Drosophila melanogaster: one gene and its partners. The protein of the gene in region 1 purifies or fractionates together with the protein of each later gene. This does not show direct contact. Each region holds a gene or a part of one and is shown in the gene's direction. Other genes may lie near its edges.

The links. Proteins that work in one complex are often made in the same cells at the same time.
Region 2: the proteins of Phb1 (region 1) and CG14005 purify together in Drosophila melanogaster (affinity purification with mass spectrometry, with the first as the bait; one large-scale study listed by BioGRID). This does not show direct contact.
Region 3: the proteins of Phb1 (region 1) and CG1354 purify together in Drosophila melanogaster (affinity purification with mass spectrometry, with the first as the bait; one large-scale study listed by BioGRID). This does not show direct contact.

Annotation. Positions count from the first base shown.
Region 1 is NT_033779.5:19,120,416-19,125,551, reverse strand, and holds Phb1 (prohibitin 1), read left to right. Parts: upstream 1-1,682; 5' UTR 1,683-1,795; intron 1,796-1,898; exon of another isoform or gene 1,899-1,995; 5' UTR 1,996-1,999; coding exon 2,000-2,431; intron 2,432-2,734; coding exon 2,735-3,133; 3' UTR 3,134-4,207; downstream 4,208-5,136. Other genes in the region: l(2)37Cb (lethal (2) 37Cb), read left to right, coding at 1-806, 874-1,501. UniProt on the Drosophila melanogaster protein: Required for larval metabolism or for the progression of the larva into a pupa.
Region 2 is NT_033779.5:5,799,851-5,803,940, reverse strand, and holds CG14005 (uncharacterized protein), read left to right. Parts: upstream 1-1,965; 5' UTR 1,966-2,054; coding exon 2,055-2,269; intron 2,270-2,332; coding exon 2,333-3,071; 3' UTR 3,072-3,424; downstream 3,425-4,090. Other genes in the region: CG7239 (uncharacterized protein), read right to left, coding at 98-1,169, 1,229-1,536.
Region 3 is NC_004354.4:9,776,779-9,782,760, forward strand, and holds CG1354 (uncharacterized protein), read left to right. Parts: upstream 1-1,963; 5' UTR 1,964-2,031; intron 2,032-2,089; 5' UTR 2,090-2,135; exon of another isoform or gene 2,136-2,155; intron 2,156-2,179; exon of another isoform or gene 2,180-2,273; 5' UTR 2,274-2,283; coding exon 2,284-2,464; intron 2,465-3,408; exon of another isoform or gene 3,409-3,428; coding exon of another isoform or gene 3,429-3,462; coding exon 3,463-3,523; intron 3,524-3,732; coding exon 3,733-4,114; intron 4,115-4,380; coding exon 4,381-4,950; coding exon of another isoform or gene 4,951-5,040; 3' UTR 5,041-5,316; downstream 5,317-5,982.

The DNA of each region.
Region 1 (5,136 bases):
GATGATGCACCCATCTTTCGGATACCTGGTCGCCGCTATCCAGTGGACATATTCTACACCAAGGCTCCGGAAGCGGACTACATCGACGCGTGTTGCGTTTCAGTTTTGCAGATTCATGCCACTCAACCTTTGGGCGACATTCTAGTCTTCCTCACGGGTCAGGATGAGATCGAGACTTGCCAGGAGGTTCTGCATGATCGCGTAAAGCGGCTGGGCTCCAAAATACGTGAGCTGATCGTTATACCCGTCTATGCGAATCTACCGAGTGATATGCAGGCCAAAATCTTCGAACCCACACCGCCGAATGCCCGAAAAGTTATCCTGGCCACAAATATCGCAGAGACTTCGCTAACCATCGACAACATCATTTATGTAATTGATCCTGGGTTTGCCAAGCAGAACAATTTTAATTCCCGCACTGGCATGGAGTCGCTTATGGTGGTGCCCATTTCCAAGGCCTCCGCCAATCAGCGAGCGGGCAGAGCGGGACGAACTGCTCCGGGAAAGTGCTTCCGTCTGTATACGGCGTGGGCATACAAGCATGAACTGGAGGACAATACCGTTCCGGAGATACAGCGTATTAATCTGGGCAATGCGGTGCTCATGCTAAAGGCTCTGGGCATCAATGATCTGATACACTTCGACTTTCTGGACCCTCCGCCGCACGAGACACTGGTATTGGCTTTGGAGCAGCTATATGCCCTGGGTGCACTTAATCACCATGGAGAGTTAACCAAGCTGGGTCGACGGATGGCCGAGTTTCCCGTGGATCCCATGATGGGCAAGATGCTGCTGGCAAGCGAAAAGTATGTAATCGATCTAACAAACCAGAAGTGAAATAATTCGTATAATATTCGTATATTTTTGTTTTAGATACAAATGCTCCGAGGAGATGGTGACCATTGCAGCCATGCTGTCCGTGAATAGCGCCATTTTCTACAGGCCCAAGGACAAAATCATTCACGCGGACACAGCCCGAAAAAACTTCAATCACATGCACGGCGACCACTTGAGCCTCCTGCAGGTCTACAATCAGTGGGCGGAGACGGACTACAGCACCCAGTGGTGCTACGAGAACTTCATCCAGTACAGATCGATGAAGCGGGCTCGCGACGTGCGGGAGCAGCTGGTGGGACTGATGCAGCGTGTCGAGATCGACATGGTCAGCTGCCTGCCAGAAACAGTAAACGTGCGCAAGGCAGCCACCGCTGGTTACTTTTACCATGTGGCGCGACTCTCGAAGGGCGGTCACTACAAGACCATCAAGCACAATCAGACCGTGATGATACATCCGAACTCCTCGCTCTTTGAGGAGCTGCCGCGCTGGGTGCTCTATCACGAGCTGGTGTTCACCTCCAAGGAGTACATGCGTCAGGTTATAGAGATCGAGAGCAAGTGGTTGCTGGAGGTGGCTCCGCACTACTACAAGGCCAAGGAGCTGGAGGATTCGACGAACAAGAAGATGCCAAAAGTCGCCGGGCGAGCCGAAATGGCGCAATAATTTTGAGGGGGTTTTTAGTTTTCAATTAATAATAAACTTTTATTGTAAATTTCACCATTTGTAGTTTGATATTGTAAACTGGCTTTGTTTATTATTATTCTTTTTAAATTTCGATAATCGATAATCTTAGGAAACAATCGAATACGATTCTTATTAGTACGTTTCGATATATGGCGGCCCCACCGACAGTTGTATTATCGATAACAGGCCGTGTGGTTGTATTTCGTGTTTTGCATTTCAAAGAGCAAAATTGCACAATAATTTAATTTAAGTGCAACCAAAAACCTTTAACAAGTGAGTCTATGAGCGAGCCGAGCTAACTGCGTTTGAAGACCAGGAAGAACAGGGGATAAAAACACGCAAACAGCACATTGTCATTAAACCATGACGTTCTAACCTAAAAACTGATGAAATTTCCAAGTCCAGTCGGCTTTCATTTACATATATAGTTTATAGAACAGTAACTAAATACATTACGTTTGTTTTATTCAAAGGATAATGGCTGCTCAGTTCTTTAATCGCATTGGCCAAATGGGCCTCGGAGTGGCCGTTTTGGGTGGCGTTGTCAATTCGGCATTATATAATGTGGAAGGCGGCCACCGGGCGGTCATCTTCGATCGCTTCACCGGCATCAAGGAGAACGTGGTCGGCGAGGGTACCCACTTCTTCATCCCATGGGTGCAGCGGCCCATCATCTTCGACATCCGGTCCCAGCCCCGCAACGTTCCTGTGATAACGGGCAGCAAGGATCTGCAGAATGTCAACATCACGCTCCGAATCCTGTACCGCCCCATTCCAGACCAGCTGCCCAAGATCTACACCATTCTCGGCCAGGACTACGACGAGCGTGTCCTGCCCTCCATCGCGCCTGAGGTGCTGAAGGCTGTGGTCGCCCAGTTCGACGCCGGCGAGCTGATCACCCAGCGTGAGGTGAGTAAAAACATCAGGAGAGCCCTCAGTTTCTTTAGGATAAAGCTTTTTTGATGGGCCTTGTGTTTCACCAGAGGCGCTTATGTTTACTTAGTATCAGGTCATCAGATCTCATCGTATTTCACGCGTATTTTATTTTCGATTTAAATTTGATTGTGTAAGCAAGAACGCGATCTCGGCGCTTAAGTCTAGGCTTATTGCTCTTTTGAGAATTGAAGCTTAAGAATTGGATTATTATTCAACTTATGCAGTCGGAAATATAATACTTTCATGCCCGTACTTAACGTGATTACCTCTTTGCAGATGGTGTCGCAGCGCGTTTCCCAGGAACTGACTGTACGTGCCAAGCAGTTCGGCTTTATTCTGGATGACATCTCGCTCACGCACTTGACCTTCGGTCGGGAGTTCACGCTGGCCGTCGAGATGAAGCAGGTGGCCCAGCAGGAGGCGGAGAAGGCGCGTTTTGTCGTGGAGAAGGCCGAGCAACAGAAGCTGGCGTCCATCATTTCGGCGGAGGGTGATGCCGAAGCCGCTGGCCTGTTGGCCAAGTCATTCGGCGAGGCCGGAGACGGTCTGGTGGAGCTGCGACGTATTGAGGCCGCCGAGGATATCGCCTACCAGCTATCCCGGTCCCGTGGTGTCGCCTACTTGCCCAGCGGACAGAGCACGCTGCTCAATCTGCCATCGACCATCGCGCAGTAGCTGGGTGCATCTAGTTCCGTTAAGTTGTAACTACCTATAGCATTTACTAAGTACTTTTCGATTTTGTTTCTGCTGAAATATGCACTACTCTAAAGCGTTCGCGCCCGACTGACTGGAGAATACTAAGCGAAACAACCAAAATTTGTCTCATGTAATCGGTTTTTCCATTATCTTCCCGATCGGGTTCGAAATCCGGTCGCAGTGTGCGCTCCGAATGCGGCTCAACTTTTGTTGTTTCCGTTTGAGTCGTTCGTGTGCGCGTCCTGCTGAATTGGTCCTTAAGATCGGCACCGGGCTTAAAACAACTCCAGTAATTGAAAGAAACACAGACCGTAAGAAAATTTCATTATGTGAACAAACAATAAATGATAATCCCTACATGAGTGGGCTTTTAAATTGAGTGTGGTTATGGTTATGCAGGAAATGTTATTTAATTTATGAACTTTTACTTTCTTTTTACTTTACTTTTACTTTCCCAATTAATTACAGATCGATCCTAAAACGAATCTAATCACTTGCCCATATCATATAGATTTAGACAAAATACGTGACCTATTGAAGCTCAGCGATGTGATGTGTACACCAAACACCCGCTCGCTTATCTCGGCCCTTGTTTACCCCATATGATGCCTGTTTATGCAATCCCCCTCTCAAAGGCGCCATTCGACCCCTATAAGCGGAGAATACTTTCGCATTCATTCGCAACTCAAGATGGTCATAAATCAAATTGTAGTATTCTTCGCCTCAATCGACCCGAACTCCAGCCACCCGTAAAGCAGCATAATGTGGGTGGGTAGTTGGGCGACTGGTGGCTGGTGGCTGTTGGCTGGCGTGTGGGTGGAGCACCCAGCGCATTAAAATCGAAAGCAGAGCCGTTGGCATGGCGTATAAATCTGTTGATTCAGCCAAGTGATTTGCCAAAGTGGCTTCGTTGAAATGTCAGGCACACGCACTTTGCTCGCACTCAGCAACAGTTGGACCACCCGCAGGATTCTCAGCAGCCCTACACTGAAAGAAATTATTTTCTTTTGTCGTAGGCTAAAAGTGTTTACTTGATTCTTTTAAATAGTAATTAAAGGAAGATAATGATTTTCCTGTCGTATTCCAATATCATTAGCCGAGCCGATATACCCATGTTTGTCTGTCCGTATAAACTTCGAGATTTTGGGAACTTTAAAAAAAAAAAACGGTCACGAAAACAGTTTTGAAAAATATTTTGAATTTTTGTATTATATCTCTCGATATATTTGGCATAAACATTTAAGCCACATATTTATTGTTTCTTGCCAATTTCTATTGATATTTCAACTGAATTTTGAAATTCCGGCCAAGTAACTGGCATCCAAAAGTCGTTAGCTTTCTATAGTAATTTTGAATTTTTCTCAGTGTATGCGGAACTGCCCGCTCAAAAGGCTCAACCTAGCCCACTTCCCCTAGCACAATGCGAAAGTGAGTGAGAGCATTGGATTATTTGACGTCACAATTCCATGAGCGGTTCAAAAAGCACGTCATATGTGGTGCTCTAATAACCGGTTTCCAAGATGCGCGTAAAGCGTGCCATTCCACGGCTTAATCAATTTCTTGTCTTTCCTACGAATATAACTTTGTTTACATTTTTTTGCGTGATTTTTTCTTCGGGGAGTCCAAGAAAAACCCTGTTTCGAGTGACTCATAATTGGGGGATTCCTGACGAGATCGCTCTCTTTCCACAAATTCGAGTTGGGAAGCACGTGAGTAGAATTCAAAATGTTTTGCTTGCTGTTTTAAATATCACTAGGTTCTCAAACTAATTTCAAAAATAATCAAATTAAGTTCACAGAGCTGGCAAATAAAATGTAATAGCTTGCATGTATGTATATATATATATTTTTTTAAATTCTAAATAAATCCATGGAAAATAAAGCCTTTGATATCCAGTTACTGATTCAGCGCCCAATTAATGCATGTTCCAAAAAAGTGTCAAAAAACGTGCACAAATCAAACGAGAGCTGAATTTGTTTTTA
Region 2 (4,090 bases), about 13 Mb from region 1:
GCCTGCGAAGCGGCATGTTGCAGCAATCCAGTATCTGAAAACCAGTGTTCGTGCACTGCGGTCCAAAATTGAGGTTATGAAAAGTCGGAAAAGGAGTTCACTGCGGCCGCTGGGCCGTAGGATGCTGATGCTGCTTCTGCAGCTGAAGGACGTGGCTCAGAATCTGCGCCTGCTGCTCAAGACACTTGGGGAAGAAGGTCTGCATGAGGTCGACCTTGCGTTCCTCCAGCTCCAGTCGCTGCCGACATATCTTGGTTTGTTCGTAGAGCAGCTGGTTCTTTCGCCGAACTTCCTCCATGTAGAGCGCCTCCAGCGAGTCTGCGTGTGGGGGATTCACAGATCCGAATGGACGACCGCGCTTCCGTGGCACAGGGACGGGGGAGGCGCCAACGACGGCGTTGTTGGTGGTCGAAACTGGAGCTGCAGCCGGAACCGATGCCGATACCTGTGCGGGCACCGGCGCTGGCATGCCTCCGTTTGCGTTTGTGGCCACGCTGATGGTGTTATTGCTGCTATTGATATAGGCTACCGCCGTTATGGGCTGATGGTTGACGGTCGATGTGGCCGCAGTGCTAATAACGCTGTTGTTATTGAATTGAGCCGGCTGCTGCTGAAATTGCGACTCATAGTTTGTTTGGAACTGCTGCTGTTGTTGCTGCTGCTGCTGCAGTTGTTGCTGCTGCTGTGGCGTCTGCAGCTCGAGCAGCTGAGCCGGCTCGGCTGGGGAATACTGTTGCAACTGCTCCTGAAAGGGAATGGAGCGGTACTCATCGTCCTCGTACTCCTGCTTGACCACCTCGTCATACTGGTCCGTAAACAGCTCCGTGTTGAAGCTAACTCCGCCGCTGGTGTTGTTGTTGTGGCTGCTGCCGTGATTGCTATTGCTGCTGCTATTGTAATAGGTGGCAGTGCTTGGCTCACTGGCCAGTCCCAAGCCTTGCTGCTGCTGCTGCTGAACGGATTGCTGCTGTGGCTGCTGCTGCAACTGCTCTGCGGACGCATCATCCCGGGGCGGTGTCATGTCGCGGTTGTTGAGCAGCGCCTCTGGCGGCAGCGGATCGGCGTTCTTGGGCCTGTGCAGGTTCTTCAGGATGCGATTGATAATGTCGTACTTCTTCCAGCGCGTAGCATAGCTCGAAGGATCCGCCTGCAGCTGTTTTTTGACTTGCCTTAAAAGGGAAACCAGTCAGTTAATCCGGTATAGCAAAGTGTCTAAACGGTTACCTACCTGAACTTGGCCCTGGTCTGGTTGACCTTCATCTGGATCTCCTCGGGCTTCACGTCCACGGCGAACCGGTCGCGCAGTTCCTCGGCCCACCGGCCAAAGAAGATGGTGTTCTTGCCGGTGCGCGTCAGGCGCCAGTTGTCGCGTCCCCAGATCTCGTACAGGCGCTCCTCCTCGCTGGGCGTCCAGTAGCGACGCGCCTTCTCCTTGCCCCTGCCATCGAGCAGCTCCTGACCACCGCACATGCCTAAGTCCTGCTCGGCACCGCTGCCGCTTCCGCCCGCGTTCAACGCCAGCTTCTCGTAGTCCATCGACTGCTCTGCACCGGCTCCTGATCTGCTCCCGCAGATGTATCCCTGTAACGTTGCCTTTGGATATGCGATCTCCACTCTAGTTACACAATGCGACGCTGTGGTAGAATGGTTGAAGCCAAGTGCAGTTTTTCCGCACAAAAAATCAACAACAGCTCTGATACACAGAAGAGTGTGACCTTGCGGCGCGAGAACGCCGAAAATGCCTAGATTCCTGAGCGAATTTCCTGAAATAAGTAATATAATAAATTTCATTTAGTACCATATCAGTATCATGTATATACTACAGCTGGGAGAATGGCTTTGGGGCTAGTCCAATATTAAGAAATAAAATTATTAAGATATTAGATATATCTTTTCCAGATTTCAATAGCTCTATAAGAAAATTTAAATCATTGATGGTATTTTTTGGCGCCTGCCGCGCTCAAGCGTTATTGGTATTTCCACGCCTGGTCCTTGGTCACGTACGAAAATGTTTGGATTATAACGATTCCACAAAATTGAAATTAGACCGGAATATGAGCGGCCAGAAGCACCTGCGATTGCGCTACTACACGTCGCTGGAGGAGGCCATGCTACTGCGGCTGTGGCGCGAGCACCTGCATGCCATACCCTCCTACACGGACAACCTGCCCATTTTCCGGGAAATCGCGCACGGCCTGCAGCAGAACGGAGTTCGGCTCAATAAGCAGGAGGCTCGCCGGCGCATCAACAGCTACCGCAACAAGTATTTGTGAGGCGCAGCAGCGGCTCGGGTCAGTTCACAGTGCTAATATCTCCTTCCACTTCTCTGCAGGAACGATCGCAATCGCGTGGGGGGCAATGCGAACTTCGCGAAGGATTGGCGTCTCTACGCGCTGATCGATTGCCTCTTCTGTCCTGCCTGGCCGTCGTCCGCCCTCTTCCATTTCCGCAATGTGCTGGAGACGATCCGTGCGACAGCACGTGTGGATTTGCCCGCCCTGCCGCCACTGCTATACACTTCGCCCGCCCAGCTAAAATTTGAGCGCGACTCAGAGGGATGCACCTTCCTCGATGCCCAGCCCCTAGTTCCCGCAGTAGTGAAGACAGAGCCTCTGCCAGACGAACACCACCAGCTGGTGAATATTGAATACAAGCCCACAGTGACGCAGCTGGAAAACGCGGCTAGCCACTACCTGGAGAGAGCTACTGCCGAAAGTGTCATTCAGCGGTCGCCTCTCACGCCTGCCAACCACATCCTGCCCGAGGCAGAGGATGCGCCATATGGAGGCCACACCAACGGTGGCCAGACGGACGCCGAACGTTCGGCGAGCAAAAGGAGACGAGGGCGACGTAGTATACTGCCGCACTCGGGCAAGATCACAATGGCAATAGTGGAGGCGCTGCGCAAGGAGAACAGTTTGCTCGAGCAGCAGAACGACGCCTGTCTGCAGTCGCTCGTGCGCAAGGAGAAGCAGTTCCTGGACATGAAACATAACTTTCTGGCGTATATGGAGCGGCAGGAGGCAGTGCTGGCGTTAATAAAGCAAACGACCATCAAGCTGGAACCATGATCCCGACTACTAGCACCACGTGGTAAGGACATTGTATGACAGCTTTAGCTTTAAGTTGGGAATAGAGTCGCGGCGCTCGACCCTGTGTATGTTTTTCAATTCGTTCCTTTCTCAGACACAGATGTCTAATTCACTCGACGTACAAAGCAGCAGCATAGCGAACCGAAGATATTATAATTTCTCAAACGTTCTTTTTCTAGCGTCATAAGTGTAATGTGTATGAACAATCGTCTGTGCAAAAGATCAATCTATACGGTCTTTAGTCTTAAATTAAAAACATTGTCTTGAGGCGAACTTGTATGGTAGCTACATTTTTAAAAAAAAAACTAAAACTAAACAACTGGCTAAAAAATAAATTAGATGAAAGACTATTATACTATATATATATACTATACTATATAGACTATACTATTATTTCTATTGTTACAGAATATCTTGTTGATATAATAGTAACGAAATCAAACATAAATTCAAATGAAATCAGTGTGAATAGCCTATTAAGTTTTGCATTTCGATCAACTTAGCGTGTGCAACAACCGCCGGTTATTTGTTCATCAACCCCTGCTGCAGCAGTGTGGCCGTAGCCGGAATGTGAAAATATCCGCAAACACCGCATGCGGACCTCTCTTAGTCGCTCTCTTAGCGCACAATGCGCTCTCTGCCAACCGAAATGCCACAGACTTTTTGTAGGCTTTTCCACTTTTTCGATTTCGAGACTTCGAGCGAAACGGTCGTGTTTTTCGCGTGTGTGCGGGTGGCGGACGCGCGTGCCAATCGGAAAAGGCCTTTAAATCAAATGAGTGGCTCGCCAAAGGAGCGCATCAAGGTGTGTGCGATTGTATCGAGTGTGTGTGCTTGTGCGGTGCGGAGAAAGCCAGCCAGCCGCCAGTCTGGGATAAAAATAAAGATTAAGATTGGGATAAAACAAACGAACGGCAGCGAAGTGCACAAATTGCCGTGGAATCGGGGCTAAAGAAGGAAAAACAAGTGTGCAGCACACACGGATTGAAATGTTTGCC
Region 3 (5,982 bases), on another chromosome or scaffold:
GTGTTGCTTTCTGTTACCACTTTTTTAATTGGAGCAACAAGCTGGAAACGAATGAGCTTGGCTCATTGAAACACGCTGCCGATGTTTTATATGCATTCAGTTCATTTCTGTTTGATGGCGTTCGTTTCCACCTGCCCCCGCGGCCACGCCCCCAATGCCCTGGCCACCTTCTTTCACATTTTTTTTTCTTTTTTTTTTTGTGGCCACGCCCCGCGCGTAATGTGGGTGCGAATGGGAGTGGAAATCGAGATGCGTGGTGGCTCGTTGGGCTAATTCCGCGGGAACCGCAATTAGTCAGTCATATGTATACAAATTTATGAGGCCCCAGCTACGTGCCCCATTCGCGTTCTTTTGCCAGCGACCGTATGCGGGCACCATTTTCTACCCGACTCCAATAATTAAGTGCAATAAAAGGCAATTAAAAGTCAGCTTAATTAACCCAAACAACAAATAATATGCAAAATAAGCCGGCTTAGCGTTAAATAATCATGCTGGAAATTGAATAACTTTTGGGCGTAGCGCAGAGTCCTTGGAATTGTGTCGAAAGTTGTATATATTTAATAATGAAACATTTCTGGGAAATGTGTGAAAATGGAACTTTGCTGCGTATTGTTAAATATTTTTTCTTTATATGTGGTCGAGATTTCATTCTTGATGCACTTGTGTTTATTTGTAATCTAATATAGGAAAGTAAGTAATCTTAAATGCTGATTTTTGTTAAAATCGTTGCTTCATTGATATTTCAATAAACATACAAAACCAATAAGATAGTATTCGACTTTTGTAAAGGATCAGAATGCAGGTTGTTTATAAGAGCATACACAACCACAAATCGATCGAAAAACTTTCAATCGTCAGCAGGCGTGGACCTCCTGCGGTTTTGTGGACAAACATTACAAAGGTATTACATGCTCCAGTGGAAAAAAAAAGAATGAAAACAAAAAACGAAAAACAGTTGTCCAGGGTCAGTTGCAAATGGATTTTTAAACGGTCGGACAACCGCAAAGAGATGCCTTGAGTAAAGAAACTGGTCGAGGAGGCAAGACAGCGTGAAATTATAAGTAAGTTTTCTAGCACGCACATGATATTCGAATACTGAAAGGTAGACCGATCACGCATAACGGATCTTTTAATTAGGGCCATAAACGCGGGCCAGGGAATCAATCAAAGCGCATCGACCAACGATCCAAATCGATTGCCAAACAGTCGCGAAAGATCAACAAACCTGATTCTCAACCACCCTTGGTCTCTCCTCCTGACGACTTTTCGTTTTTCTACCCATCGTGCGGATTGCGTTTCAGTTGGCCATAAAGGCAGGGAATCGATCCGCCGATCGGTTCGCTAATTATGCGAAATTATTGATTATTGCGGGCTTTTCACTAAACCGCCAAATTGCGTGTACGTGCGTCGGCCCGACGACCTTGACAGTTAACTCGATCGCATTTACCTGAAAACCTGGTCAAAACTAAAGGCGTTGGGAAGAAGGAACACGACCTGTATATCTAGACAAAATTAAACCATCAAATTGATCGCATTGCTTTCAAGCCTTGGCAGTTATTGCATAGTTCTCAATAAAATAGGGTACAATATTATAACAGCAATATATTTCGTATATTGTGGCACTTAATTTGATAGAGTTAATTAGGAAGCAATATAATTATATAAAGGTTTTAAATAGGATAACCTTATTAACCAATTCGTTTTGAGCAAACCAGTAAAGCACAAGTAAACTTATGCCCGCACAACAATTATAATGTAAGAAGACGTCAAACCTGTTGAAAAATGCTGAAATTCCAGTGCGATAATAACATAGCCCTCGAGCTAAATTCAAATTACGCGCCCTGCCCGCTGGCGCCCCCTACCGCCTGCGGTGCTAAGCTACGACGCCCATTTCAACCGCCCGGGGGCGCTAGTCGGCATGCAACCCTGCGCGTCAACAGCTGACCGGCCTATACCCATCTCGCTCGCTCTCTTTCCTTCCACGCCGTCAGCCGCAAAAAACAGCGGACGCTTAAATTTTCGTAAATATTTGTAAATAACAGGGGCTTAAGTTCATTTGGCAATAACTAACCTTAACTCCCATCCACAGCTGGAGCTGAGTTCAGTGGACAGCATCCACGCGTTTAGTGAGCTAGGTGAGCTAGCAGCCGGCAATGTGAGGTTATGTCCGGCAGCATATAAAAATAGTTGACATCTAAATGCATATACATATATGTATTTACATACCTGATTAATCGGATATATGTAACTAACGACTTGCCATATCACCGCAGATCAACGAAGATGCCGCCCAAGAAGCACGACGAACCGGAGCGCAAGCCGCTGATCGGCAGAATTGGAACGAATCTGAGAATCGGTATCGTTGGCGTTCCCAACGTGGGCAAGTCCACTTTTTTCAACGTTCTGACCCAAAGTGCCGCCCCCGCGGAGAACTTCCCCTTCTGCACCATCAAGCCGAATGAGAATAAGTATTCCCCAACACACACATATATATATATTTATATATATATATATCTTTACATACATATATCTGGCCAATTACCAGGCGAACCTGCGGGCGGTGGCAATTTCCTCGATCATTGTAATCATCTCGTGGAATATAATTTTTATGCCGGCGATGCAGCAATGGCCTCCAGGAGCAACCGCCGCCGCTTCTAATTCCAAATTGCTCTCTCGACTGGACCTTCTAAAATAGCCACAGTGCAGCCTCGATAGGTAACACAAATCTCTGAGATTCGCAGCTAAGTGGGGGATTCAATGTGTCAGGAACTTAGATCTAAACACTATGCTATGGCTAGTATACCTTCTGGTTATTAACCATTTTATCATAGAAATAGTCTTCAATTGTAGATAATTCCAAATGTTAAAGCACGAAAACTTCAATTTTAGCAAACTTCAAGCTATAAGCATTTGATCTTATAGATTATCCTTACTATGTATCTCATACAGAGTGTTCTCATGTTTCCATTCCTTTTGGACTACAGAAGTAACAGATAGTTTCGCACACTTAACTCTATAAATTAGTTAAGAAACCATATTTGTATTCATTTAAGGCACCTTTAAAAGTTGAGCTAACCATGCTTCACTGTCCTTCGCGTTGTGGGCGTGTCGCGGCCTTAGCAATTTTATCAGATCCAGTTCCCAATATGCAAATTGCCCCCGCCTTCGGTTCGTTTCGGTTTCATTTTCCTGCGCTTTTTATTTGTGAGCGACTTCATTTTGGTTTCGCTGCCCCTTTGCGGATGGCGCAAAATTATAGAAAATTGCCATGATTGGCCGCCGATGCTGCCGGGCTACCAAGCCAGTCAGTCAGTCAATCGTTTTTGTTTTTTCATATTCTTGTATTTTTGGATTTCTGCATTTCTGCGTCCAGCCAAGTCATCCCGACTAACATGCGTCTTACCTCTTCTTTTCATCTGCTCCTGCTGATGCTGCCGCCGATGGCTTTTGCCTTACCCACACGTCGTGTTCCGGTGCCCGATGAGCGTTTCGATTACCTGGTGGAGTACCACAAGCCGGCCAGGTGAGTTGGAGCATACAAATCCATTGCATTTTAGTTTTCCATTGCTTGTAACAAAAAAAAACATATACCTGCATCACGAAACGCATTTAAAACGCGTAACAAGTTTCGGGACTTGCTATTTTCGTTATTTGCTTGCCATTTGCTTGTTAAGTTTAATAGAAAAGTTCTGCACAATCGAAAGTAATAAGTATTTAAAAAAAAAAAACTAGTGTGGTTCCTGCCTATTTGAACGTCGTGGACATTGCTGGCTTGGTGAAGGGAGCCGCCGAGGGTCAGGGACTTGGCAACGACTTCCTCTCGCACATCAGCGCCTGCGATGCCATTTTCCACTTGTGCCGCGCCTTCGAGGATCCGGATGTGACCCACGTGGAGGGCGAGGTGGATCCGGTGCGCGATCTGGAGATCATCTCCGAGGAGCTGCGCCTCAAGGACGAGGAGAATCTGCTCAAGAACTTGGACAAACTGGAGAAGGTGGTGGCCCGCGGCGGCGACAAGAAGCTCAAGCCCGAATACGATTCGATGCTTAAGATTAAGGATATCCTTATCGATCAGAAGCGTCATCTGCGCTTCGAGGACTGGAATGCCCATGATGTAAGTACGAAAACAATCCACATCCGCTGGGTGGCACTAACGCTTATTGTTATTCCTTTCTACTTAAAAACAAGGGGATATCCATAAAATATTGTATTGTAAATTTGTTTATTAAGAATGCATTTGTATTCGTGTTTCATTCATTGTTGTTATTATCGTCTTTATTTGTTTGCCAACAAAACAGCGAAATCTGTGGTTTTTTTTCGTGTGACCTTGTGATTTTCCCTCCCGTTCTTATTGACGCCACCACTACTTTGCTCTTTCAGATTGAGGCCTTGAACAAGTATCTGTTCCTGACCTCCAAACCGGTCATCTACCTGGTGAACCTTTCGGACAAGGACTTCATCCGCAAGAAGAACAAGTGGCTGCCGAAGATCAAGGAATGGATCGACAAGAACGATCCCGGAGCACTGCTCATTCCCTTCTCCGGCGCCTTCGAGCACCAGCTGACCGAAAAGGACGAACTGGAGCGCAAGGCCTACGAGACGGAGACCAAGTGCAAAAGTATGCTGGAGAAGATCGTTGTGACCGGCTACAAGGGACTGCAGCTGGAGTACTTCTTCACCGCCGGGCCGGATGAAGTGAAGGCCTGGACCATCCAGAAGGGCACCAAGGCTCCCCAGGCTGCCGGACGCATTCACACCGACTTCGAGAAGGGCTTCATTATGGCCGAGGTGATGCACTTCGAGGACTTCAAGGCGGAGGGCAGTGAGGCGAATGCCAAGGCCGCTGGCAAATATCGCCAACAGGGACGCAACTACACCGTCGAGGATGGCGACATCATATTCTTTAAGTTCAACGCCGGCGCTGGCCTCAAGGATGCCAAGAAGAAATGATACCGTTTGGCCATGATCATCGCCATGTCCACCGTTTTGTACATTAACTTGATCTTGTACTCCCAGATGTTTCGCTTCGCCAGAGGCTAGCTCCTCATTATCACATCCCTCACTCTCATGTTCGAGGCCTGAAAATGCATTTTGAATTTCCTTTTTTTTTGTACGCTATGTAAACACGCTTATGACACACAATCTCAGTCGTTGTTTGTTATGGTAACAGGCGGGTTAACTGGAGCACCATTTGAATCCGCAGTGATACTTGAATATTCTATAAGAATTTACCTATGTATCTTTGTGGCTATATGATCATTTGTCATGGGATTGAGATTTTTAAACATGCAAGTAATAAAATCAGGTTGTAGATTTGGCAAGTACTAGTATTGTGTTGCTATCCCTTTGCTCCTAGCTAGCAACAAACAATAAGAAATGACATATCCCTTGTCAGGCATTGACATTGTGGTAACCGAAGTCTCGGATTTCTATTGCTGAGCCGTGGCAAAACTTTTTAATCATGCTGGCAAAGTTGCTGTTGGAAACACCTGTGCAAACCTCTTTGCCACCAGAGCCAACAGGAAAAGCGGCCAAGTGCAAGGAGCTGTGCCACAAAGACTCAAAAGGAGGGAGCAGGGGCTGTGCTGTGCGCTGGTTGCTCTGTGCAAATGCAGCTGCATCCAGTACACAAAGGATCGGGTGGTTGAGGTAGCTGGCTGGTTGCCTGGTTGGTTGGCTGGTTGGCTGGTTCCACTGACTCTGGTCGCAGCGGCAACTTGCTAAGCACATAATTTGGTTTACCGCATTGCCAAACATGCGCCGCCAGAAACACGCACATTCCCCCTAAATCCCAATCTCAAACCCTTTTTCGGTTGCTTCTGGGTTCTGTTAATCTTTGCCAAAAGAAACTTTTCTTGTGCACCGTGTGACGAGCTCGAAATGTGGAGCATAATTCAAAAGTCTGCAATGAAAGTAAGGAAAAGTTTCAAAAATGTTCTATACATTTTGGGATTATGGTTTTGAGTGCAAGAAGAATGCCTC